Linked DNA regions of Ovis aries. The protein of the gene in region 1 purifies or fractionates together with the protein of each later gene. This does not show direct contact. Links are inferred from orthologs where the notes say so. Each region holds a gene or a part of one and is shown in the gene's direction. Other genes may lie near its edges.

Region 1 (3,651 bases):
ATACCTTCAGTTTCTCCCAAACTTAGCCATCTTCAGTTCATTCGCTCAGTCATGTCCACCTCTTTGTGACCCTATGGACTGCAGCACATCAGGCTTCCCTGTCCATCACCAACTCCCGGAGTTTACTCAAACTCATGTCCATTGAGTCAAGGATGTCATCCAACCATCTCATCCTCTGTCATCCCCTTCTCCTCCTGTCTTCAATCTCTCCCAGCATCAGGGTCTTTTCCAATGAGTCAGTTCTTTCACATCAGGTGGCCGAAGTATTGGAGTTTCAGCTTTAGCATCAGTCTTTCCAATGAATATTCAGGACTGATTTCCTTTAGGATGGACTGGTTTGATCTCCTTTCTGTCCAAGGGACTGTCAAGAGTCTTCTCCAACACCACGGTTAAAAAGCATCAATTCTGTGCTCAGCTTTCTTTATAGTCCAATTGTCACATATATACATGACTACTGGGAAAACCATAGCTTTGACTAGATGGACCTTTGTTGGCAAAGTAATGTCTCTGCTTTTTAATATGCTGTCTAGGTTGGGAATAACTTTTCTTCCAAGGAGCAAGCATTTTTAAATTTCATGGCTGCAGTCACCATCTGTAGTAATTTTGGAGCCCCCTAAAATAAAGTCTCTCGCTGTTTCCATTGTTTCCCCATCTATTTCCCATGAAGTGATGGAACCAGATGCCATGATCTTAGTTTTCTGAATGTTGAGTTTTAAACCAACTTTTTCACTCTCCTCTTTCACTTTCATCAAGAGGCTGTTTAGTTCTTCTTCTCTTTATGCCATGAGTGTGGTGTCAGTCCTGAATATTCATTGGAAGGACTGATGCTAAAGCTGAAACTCCAATACTTTGGCCACCTGATGCAAAGAACTGACTCATTTGAAAAGACCCTGAAGCTGGGAAAGATTGAAAGCAGGAAGAGAAGGGGATGACAGAAAATGAAATGGTTGGATGGCATCACCGACTCAATGGACATGAGTTTGAGTAAACTTTGGGAGTTGGTGATGGACAGGGAAACCTGGCATGCTGCAGTCCATGAGATCGCAAAGAGTCAGACACAACTGAGCAACTGAACTGAACTGAACTGTGGTGTTATCTGCATATCTGAAGTTATTGGTATTTCTCCCAGCAACATTAATTCCAGCTTGTGCTTCATCCAGGCTAGCATTTCTCATGATGTACTCTGCATATAAGTTAAATAAACAGGGTAACAGTATACAGCTTTGACATACTCTTTTCCCAATTTGGAACCAGTCTCTTGTTCCATGTCCAGTTCTAACTGTTGCTTCTTAACCTGCATACAGATTTCTCAGGAGGCAGGTCAGGTGGTCTGGTATTCCCATCTCTTGAAGAATTTTCCACACACACACACACACACACACACACACACACACAGAAACAGTCAAAGGCTTTAGCATAGTCAGTAAAGCAGAAGTAGATGTTTCTCTGGAACTCTCGCTTTTTCAATGATCCAGCGGATGTTGGCAATTTGATCTCCAGTTCCTCTGCCTTTTAACTAAGCCATCTTCACTAGCGATCTTCACTAAGAAGTATTTCAGCACTGTGGCTCCTTTCTTTTGTCTCTCTTTTTGAATCTAAGCCTTGCATGAGTGCATCTGCTTGCGAGAATCTCTTGCCACCAGTTTGAGTCTTCACCCTGAACCTAATTTTTTGTCCTTATAGCTTTCTTTGTTGTCATGAATCCATGTAAATTGGCAATTGCTTCCAGATTTTGAACAACCTTTTCTTATTCATCTTGCAGTGAATTTCCTGGACTAAATTAAAAAGGAGGAAGAACCTGTTTGTTTTTTTTTTAATGTACTGACAAATATAACTATATTCATTTGTTCCTCAGCATTCCTCATATAAGTCTTAAAATGCATCCTACTTTTTTTTTCCTTCTGCATAATTTCCATCAGAATAATCAAATCTGAATATGTTAATATTGTATTCTGTCCTTAACTGAAAACTATGACTGTGAATATGGTCAAGAAAATGATTTATTTTTGTCACTATGGATTTTCATATCTAATAATTAAAAACTTTATATGATATAAATATATGTATATGACATCAGAAAGACTGTTTTATAACTGGTCTCTGGATATGCTATCCTCCCTAGATGAGTCAGATGTAGACTTTACCATTCCTTTTGTTATCTCGTTTGTCCAATTTGAAGAAAATCATTGTTTTGCATTTTTTTCTAAGTCTAGCTATATCTTATACTTTATTACATGTTACTAAAAGAGACTATGTCAGGTACATTAAATATTTTATAAATTATTTAAAAGAAGTACTGTTTAAATTGTTACTTACTTTAATAATAACTGAGTTGGAAAATTCTGATTTGCCTGCAGTATCCGTCTTAAAAGTCTCAATGCCAACACAGATATAACTTCCCTGGCACGGAAGGTGGTTGAGGAATGTAAACTCATTCATCCCTCAAAGCTAAATGAAGTGGAACAGCTGTTGTACTATCTCCAGAACCGCCGTGATTCAATGTCAGGAAAAGGTAAGTAGAAGAACAACTAAATTTTTAACGCAAAACCATAGCAAAAACCACCTCAATATTGTAAGTAATTAGCCTCCAATTAAAATAAATAAATTAATTTAAAAATGAAAAAAAAACAAAACCAGAGTTGTTTGACTGTAGTTTGTACTTTTGATATTTAAATGGTGATGGTTTTTTTTTTGTTGTTGTTAGTGCTATGACTAAGTGAATGAAAGAATAAACAAACATACTAGTATTCCAGGCTTACAAAATGATCTATTTTGTACCAAGTGTGTGTGTGTGCATGCGCACATATGATAAAATAAGGAATAAAAAAGCAAATATCTTTCATATTGATTCTGGAATAATAGAAAGAGAGAATTGAGGCCTGGAAACCTGTTTTCTCCACCCGAGCAACTTATTTATATTTTCTATATTTCTTATTGACAATTAATTGATAATTTGGATTACTAAAGTATTTAAGTGTTAAAATATTTGTGGTATGCATATGTTTTGTGAATCTTTCTTAGGAAAACTTACCTTTTCATTGCCAAACATCTCTATTGTTACTATTCTTCTATCTTTAATTGCCTCATAAAAGAATAAATTCATTAAACTTAGAGCTAAGTAATTGATTATTTATAGAAGACATTTTCCAATGTCCAAGCTCAAAACAAAAGTACAGGTATTTAAATGGAAAGTTATCTCAGATTAATCAGTGGTTACTTATTCCATTTCATAGTATTTATTAATGGACAGTCCATGGAGTCGCGAAGAGTTGGACACAACTGAGCAACTTTCACTTCACTTCACTTATCAAGTTTACATATATCTTTCTTTTCATTCCTAAGTTCTATTATATGGTACCCTTGACATAGCTTATACTTCAGTTTTGATTGTATTAAGTAGAAAAAATGAAAGAGAAAATTTATTTGCACTTTTAAAAAAATTAAGCAGTCATTTCTCTCCATCCATAGCAAATAAAATGCCTTGTGCCTAATATGTACTTTTATTAGTTAGCCTTGTATACAGTATATAGCACACATTATATGATCAGTATGTATTTGTTGAATGAATTGAATAGCTGTGAATTTATTTAAAAACAAAAATAAGCATTTTGAACTTGATTATTTCCAACTGCATAGCTGGCACTCCAACTA
Region 2 (3,751 bases), on another chromosome or scaffold:
TGCAATGATGAGTAAGAGGGAAGATTGCAGGAACCAAGGACTGTGATCCGAGCCTGTGACTTTTATGCTGGGAGATGAGAAATCACTGGCAGGTTATGAATGAAGACAGTGTTGTTTTAGTTGCCAAGCCGTGTCAGACTTTTTGCAACCCCACCCACTGTAGCCGCCAGGCCCTTCTATCCATGGAATTTCCCAGGCAAGACTACTGGAGTAGGTTGCCATTTCCTTCTCCAGGAGATCTTCCCCACCCAGGGACAGAACCTCCATCTCCTGTATGGGAAGGCAGATTCTTTACCGGTGAGCACTCTGCCTCTTGTGTTGAAAGTAGACTAGGATGGGCAAGGATGCACTGCAAGGAAACTAGTTCTGAGCTGTTTAGTAATGCAGGCGAGAGATGGTGGTGCTCAAAGTGGTCAGATTCTGGTTCTACTTCTGAGACAGAGACAACTAGTTCTAGTTCTGTAGAAAGATTGGATATTAAGTATGAGAGAAAAAGACTGTGATTTAATCTGATCAATGGTCAGAATCCAGCTTACATTATTGTGATGGACTTTTAAAGTTGTTTATATTTAACAGGTGTGGCATAGGTACTAGTAGGCGATAGGAAGTGCGAATCAACGGTTCAATTTTGGACATAATAAACTTGAAATTATTGCACGTCCAAGCAGAGCGGTGTTCAGGGGAGTGGTTCAGATAGGTCATTCTTTCTTTCACAAGTATTTATTGAAAATCCACCTTGTGCCATCTTCTATTCTAGGCTCTGGAGGTAACTGAGAATACTGACAAAGTTCCTCAGCTAATGGTGAGACAGGTCATAAGTTGGCAATCAAGCACAATAACGTATGTAAAGTGGCTCTTCTGAGGAAACACAATGTACAATTGCTATCGTTGTTTATAATATTTAGAACATAGCAAGCGCTAGAAGATGGGCGGCGTTGTGCCTCTTCTTCCCCAACCGTAGTAGCCAGATATCCCACCTCCAAATCCGGTCAGATTTCCAGCGGCAGCGGAATGGCAGCATTGCGCAAGCGCAGCCTCAGCCTGGCTTCCTAGGAGACGGACTCGGAAAGTTCTGGCGCAGGCGTAATCCGAGTGGCGGAGGAAGCCTCGTGCCCGGGGATGGGGCGGGGCGAGCCCGGAGTGCGCCTGCGCACAGCGAGCTCTCGCCAGAGGAGCCGCAGTCTTGGGTGCGCCAAGGAGGTGTTTCAGGAGTGTCTGATCCGCCTCTCCCGCGAAGCCGGCGTTGTTGGACTGCACCCCGGGCGGGGACGTCCACGGGGCACGGGAGGAAGCCGCAATGCCGGTAAGGAGAGTCACTCAGCCGCTGGGGCTCCTCCTCATCTCTGCGGCCTGGCCGGGTGGCGCGGCCGTTACCATGGAGGCGCGGAGCAGGCTGGCGGCCCGGGTGGGGCGGGGCCGGGCCGGGCCGGGCCGGGCGGGCCAAGCGGTGTGGGAGCCAGGCGGTTGGGCCCGGGCATGTGGGGGTCCACCCGACCCCGGGAGGGGCCCGGAGCAGGCCTTGCCACCTTGGTCGCTGCTGAACCCCGAAAGGCCTGGGGTGCTTGACATAAAGGCGCTGTGCCGGAGGATGCGCGCTCGCTCCCAGCCCTGTTCTCTGGGTAGGGCGTCTAGGAGCGGCCGCGGAGGGTTGGCTCTTGGATGCCAGGTGGGGCTCTGCGTCGCGGGGCCGGGCTCTGGAAGGCAGCAGAGCACGGGTTGTCTGCCCCTACTCCAGGCTCCTGACTCGAGCTGTCATTCCTCTCGTGGCGCCCCAGCTGACAGTGCAGAATGTAATCCGTAGGCGTCTTTGTGTGTGAGGCGGGTGAGTGGTGGGTGATGGTATGCTTGTCTTGTAGGATTTCACAGATTATTATCGTGTGACTTAATAAGGGGGCGTCGTAAGTCCAGTCATGGGGAACCCTCCAACTGTGGCCGGTTATTTACGTGAGGGGGTGAGTGGTGGATGGTCGTATGTTGCGTCTTGTAGGATTTCACAGGTTATAAGCAGGCGTCGTAAGTCCATTATAGGGTCATGGAGAACAGCTGAGAAGTGGCCGGTTGCGAGGCCCTGGGTAATTTATCTTTCTGGGTTCTTCTTTCCTGCATAATTAAACTTTTCCTCATGGGGGTATCAGGATGAAATAAGATAATACGCAGGAGGCTTGAAGGACAGTGCTTGACTCTTAGCATTAAATGCTTAATATTTGTTCCTTGTTGCTTTCTATTTAATTATCAATTTATTCAACAATTTATTACTGGGCACCAGCCACACTGTTGGCTCAGTAGTAAAGAATCCCCCTGGTAATACAGGAGAAGCTGGTTTGGTCCCTGGTTGGGGAAGTTCCCCTGCAGAAGGAAACGACAACCCACTCCAGTATTCTTGCCTGGAAAATCGCATGGACGAAGGAGTCTGGCGGGCTACAGTCCATGGGGTCACGACTTAGCTACTAAACAACAACAACTACATACTAGGCACTGGAGATACAATATTGAGCAAAACCAGCCAGGTTCTTGAACTTGGGAAGAGAAAAGCTTGCCCTGTAGGGCAGAGGTGAAAACCACACATAGTGATAGGATGCTTAACTAAGTGAAGTGGATCAGTGGCCTACAATAGAAAGAAGTAGACTCTGGTGAATTGTTTAAATGTTGCCATGTAGGAATGCTGGCTTACAAATGTCAGATATCTATCTGTTTTTCAGAGAATCTAGAGATTGTTCTTTTAATGAGATTTCTAATTTTTAAATTTTAGCAACTGACTTAAAAGATTTTTAGATAATAGGAGCCAAACAAAAGACATTTGTGGGCTAAATTTAGTCCCTTGACTGAGTACCTGTTTGGAACTTCTCAGTTAGATACAGACACAGACTGTAATAAAATAAGAAGCCAAAAAAAAAAAAAAAAAAGTAAAATTGTAACCAGTGCAGAAGAAAGAATGGTGCTATCAGGACCTATATTAGGTCAACTCTAGTCAGGGAAGTCTTCCCAGGTGAAGGAGCTGTTGAGCTGAGCTCTGCAAAGTAATTGAAGAGGGGGGAGTATGTTTTAGGCATAAGAAACAGCACCTGGAAAGGAGTGTGGTGAGAGGAAGCATGAAGACAAGAAAAGGCCTAAAAGAAAGCCAAGCAGAGTAACTTGTGAAATAAAGCTGGAGAAGTGGACATGGGCCAGAACCAGATCTTACAGACCACTGTAAGGATTTTGACTTTTATCCTAAAATCTGTGGGAAACTATTGTAGAATTCTGAGTAGGGGAGTGACTTAATTAGATTAGTTGAAACTGACTGCCAGGTAGAGAACAGACCATATCGGAACCTAATTAGATGCAGCAATACAGTTGGTGGTGGTGTTTAGTTGCTAAGTCATGTCCAACTCTTTGCCACCCAATGGACTGGAGCCTCCCAGGCTCCTCTGACCTTGGGATTTCCCAGGCAGGAATACTGGAATGGGTTGTCATTTTCTTCTCCAGGGGATCTTCCCAACCCAGGGATTGAACCTGAGACTCCTGAATTGCCAGGCAGATTGTTTATCGCTGAGCCACCAGGAAGCCCAGCAGTACAGTTAGGAGTTTCTTATAATTCGGGACAAGATAACCTGGAATAAGGTGGTGAAAGTAGAGATGGAAAGAAGTGTGTTGACTTGATATCATCTATTCCTTGTGAATGACAGTGGCTCATGTTTGTTTCTCTGATGCTTAGAAGAGTATCTGAAAGAGTAGGAATTTAGTATCTGTTCAACTTAACTGTTAAACTGGA
Region 3 (3,651 bases), on another chromosome or scaffold:
GGATGATACACAGTCATAAGACGAAAGAATTTTAGAGCTGGAAGGGAGTGTGTTGAGGGTGGTGATTACTAATCAGTCCAGCCTTTTCGTTTTGAAAAAAGAGGAAAGTCGCAGGGGCAGAAGCATGGCAGCAGGGGTAGAAGTTTCTTTAAAGCAAGGTTGTGGAGTTTCTGGAGCCCGTGCTTCTCAGGTGCAAATCATTCCCCTGGCTTCAGCCCTCATCTAAATGCTGAAGGTTTTCAGTCTGCATGGTTAGCCCAAAGCTGTCTCCTAACGTCCCAGCTGATAGCCTCTGCCTGCTGGGTATTTCCACGGAGATGCCCAGGGCCACGCAGAGCCTGCTTCGGCCTGCCTTTCCTCAGTCTAGCCAGACTCCTTCCTAGGAGTTATCATTGCCAGCTGCCACTCTCTCTCCCGCGGTCTCTGAATCCTGCCTCTCTCGGACCCATCCACTTTGCTCTCCCAACCTCTCCTGCCCCAGCTCAGGCCTGAAACCTTAAAACAGCCTCCTGTCTGCTCTCACTCCACCCAGCCCGCCCTTTTCCAGTTTTTCTTCCTGTGCAGGGGAGTTTTGTTTCTAAAACACAGATCTGGTTATGTATCCTAGTGCTCAAAGGACACGTCAGTGGTTCCTGCAGTTCTCAGGGTCAAGCGTAGTCTCCCATACAAGGCTTGGAGGTTTTTGAACTACCCCCGATTGCTTTGCCAACTTCATGTATCACCACTCTCTACCCTACCCTCTGAAAACAATTTTTTTTTTCCTTAGCTGTTTCCTATTTTTACTTTAGCACTTTTGTAGCTGTCCCTTGAGACAGGAAGCTTTTTCTCTGACTGCCTTTGGGAAGAGCCTGAATTCCCTCCTTCCCGTGTGCCTCTGCCTGTATTACTCTGTCCTTTCCTCATGATAAGATCTGGTTCCATCTGATAAGAACCTGCTGCTTGTGGCCCTCTGTGGACTCTCAGCTTTTGACTCATATTCACAGTGGCATCCTCAGTACCTAGCATGTAGAAGGTGCTTAATAGGTTCTAACTGAGGTCAATACTTCATACAAACAAACCAAAAATTTTCTTTAAAATATAAAGCTGAAATTTATGTATGTCTAGGGAAGCTGTGTCTTCAGTATTTCCATTATAAAGCCCTAGTGAAGCCGCCAAAGCTCCACCCCAGTGATGAGACAGGCCCAGCTGAGCACAGTATATTTTCCCTAAGAATTTACCTGCTTTGGCTCGGTCCGGAGCTCTTTGTCTTTCACAGGCTTCCCTGTGAGGAGCTATGTTCCGAGCGAGACCACTCACGACCTGGATTCTGCTCTTTTCTCACAAAGGCTATGGAGAGTAAGCTGCTTGTTGGAGGAAAAAATATAGTAGATCATACAAATGAACAGCAGAAAATCCTGGAGCAGAAACGGCAGGAAATTGCAGAACAGGTAACTTGTCACTCCCTTTGGGAGAGAATGGAGTTGGGCGGGGTGCGTCAGTGCTACAGAGCCAATATCTTTTCTGTTAGACTCTTCAAAGGTGATGAGAAGGACATGTGTCAGCCCCTTCCTGGTGGGAGACTGATCTAGAGCACCCAGCCCCATATTCTTGAATAGATGTTGTCTGTAGGCACACTGATCAGTTTTGTGACATTGCTCAGAAACGTCGAGAAAGAGAAATCCAGCAGCAGATGGAAAGCCGAGACGAGGAGACCTTGGAACTGAAGGAGACATACAGCTCATTGCAGCAAGAGGTGGACATCAAGACCAAGAAACTCAAAAAGGTAGGAAAGGAATGAGGCAGGCAGAGGCTCCTTGAGGTGTGGGGCAGAGTGAACTCTGTTGTCCAGAGGGCTGCCCGGCTCAGCCGCCTCTCCTGTTGTTTCCAGCTGTTCTCTAAGCTTCAGGCAGTCAAGGCAGAGATCCATGACCTCCAAGAAGAGCACATCAAGGAGCGGCAGGAGCTGGAGCAGACCCAGAATGAGCTCACCAGGGAGCTGAAACTCAAGTAAGTCCTGGGCCTTCCGGGGCACCCCAGCCGCTTGCTGTGTTGTTTGTTAAGTAGCAAACCCCTCAGAAGACAGGGCCCCTGCTTACTTCTCTCCATCTCTCGCCGCCTTGTCTGTCTTCTGTTTATTCCTAAGAAAGTTATTTTCTGTCTCTGCATCCCATCTGTTAACTGAGTATCTTCACCGTATGATCTCCAAGTTCCTCTCATTCTGCCTTACTGAAGCCATTATCTATTGATGAAAGGGAATCTTTTATTAATTAGAATTTTCTGAATGGTATAAGGAACACCCAAATATCCATTGCCCAGCAGTGATGGTGGTTTAATCGCTAAGTCATGTCTGACTGTTGTGATCCCATGGACTATAGCCTGCCAGGCTCCTCTGTCCGTGGGATTTCCCAGGCAGGAAGGCAGGAATACTGGAGTGGGTTGCCATTTTTTTCTCCAGGGGATCTTCCTGACCCAGGGATCGAACCCAAGTCTCCTGCATTGCAGGTGGATTTTTTACTGCTGAGCTACCAGGAAAGCCCAAGATGCTCTGATGAACAGTCTTTTGTCCTCCATCTTTCATAGTTTGGTTGCTTTTGGTTTTTTAGGGGGGTGGGCTCTACCATGTAGCCTGCAGAATCTTATCTCTCCCACCAGGGATTGAACCCATGCCCCCTTCAGTGAAAGCACAGATCTTTATCCTCATAAAAATACTTGAAAGCAAATCTTACATCATGTTACCTCATTCCTACATACTTACATATGTACCACAGTGTTGTTTTTTTTTTTTTAGAAAATCTTTATTGAGATATAATTCACATACCGTACAATTCACTTATTTAAAGTATGCAAGATACAAGTCAGTTTTTTTACTGTGGCTGCACAGCTTGGGGAATCTGTTCCCTCACCAAGGATTGAACCTGGGCCACAGCAATGAAAGCCAGGAATCCTAACCATTAGGTGACCAGGGAACTCCCCCACAAGTCATTTAAATATATATGCATATGTTTACTTGGCTGTAAAGTCAACACTACAGTCTAATTTTAGAACATTTGTGGGTGCCCTCACCCAAAGAAAACGTGTGCCGGTTGTCAGTCACTCCTTATTATCTCCTCCCCCAGCCTTATAAGTAACTGATCTACTTTCTGACTCTGTAAATTAACCTATTCTGGGCCTTTCGTATACACGGAATTATATAGGATGTGGTCTTTGTGACTGGTTTCTTTCGATTAACATGTCTTCAGGAGTTATCCATGTTGCAGGATGTTAGCACTTCTTTTTGTAGAGCTGACCCATATTATATGAATATTCCACATTTTATTTATCCATTCATCAGTTAATGGACATTTGGGTTGTTTCTGCTTTTCAGCTATAGTTAATAATGCTGCTATGAACATTTGTGTCCAAGTTTAATTGTGGACTTAACATTTTTAGTTCTCTTAGGTTATCCAAGAGTCTTACAGATTTAGGTCTTACATTTAGTCTATGATCCATTTAATTTCTTACATGGTCTGAAGTATGGTTCCAAATGCATTCTTTTGCATGTGGATATTCAGTTGCCCCAGCACCTTTTGTTGAAAGTGTCTTCCCTTTTTGTCTTTGCATCCTTGTTGAAAGTCAGTTGACCGTAATTGTAAGGTTTATTTCTCTACCTTCGGTACTATTCTGTTGAACTAT

What was found.
Region 2: the proteins of KIFAP3 (region 1) and KIF3A purify together in Homo sapiens (co-immunoprecipitation; 9 studies listed by BioGRID and IntAct, counting the BioPlex papers as one, with this or other methods). This does not show direct contact. The link is inferred for Ovis aries from reciprocal best matches to the Homo sapiens genes KIFAP3 and KIF3A.
Region 3: the proteins of KIFAP3 (region 1) and KIF3B purify together in Homo sapiens (co-immunoprecipitation; 7 studies listed by BioGRID and IntAct, counting the BioPlex papers as one, with this or other methods). This does not show direct contact. The link is inferred for Ovis aries from reciprocal best matches to the Homo sapiens genes KIFAP3 and KIF3B.

Annotation. Positions count from the first base shown.
Region 1 is NC_056065.1:36,965,404-36,969,054, reverse strand, and holds part of KIFAP3 (kinesin-associated protein 3), read left to right. Parts: intron 1-2,357; coding exon 2,358-2,512; intron 2,513-3,651. UniProt on the Homo sapiens protein: Involved in tethering the chromosomes to the spindle pole and in chromosome movement. Binds to the tail domain of the KIF3A/KIF3B heterodimer to form a heterotrimeric KIF3 complex and may regulate the membrane binding of this complex.
Region 2 is NC_056058.1:19,390,235-19,393,985, forward strand, and holds the start of KIF3A (kinesin-like protein KIF3A), read left to right. Parts: upstream 1-1,297; coding exon 1,298-1,666; intron 1,667-3,751. UniProt on the Homo sapiens protein: Microtubule-based anterograde translocator for membranous organelles. Plus end-directed microtubule sliding activity in vitro. Plays a role in primary cilia formation. Plays a role in centriole cohesion and subdistal appendage organization and function.
Region 3 is NC_056066.1:61,436,181-61,439,831, forward strand, and holds part of KIF3B (kinesin-like protein KIF3B), read left to right. Parts: intron 1-1,325; coding exon 1,326-1,427; intron 1,428-1,639; coding exon 1,640-1,762; intron 1,763-1,867; coding exon 1,868-1,986; intron 1,987-3,651. UniProt on the Homo sapiens protein: Microtubule-based molecular motor that transport intracellular cargos, such as vesicles, organelles and protein complexes. Uses ATP hydrolysis to generate force to bind and move along the microtubule. Plays a role in cilia formation.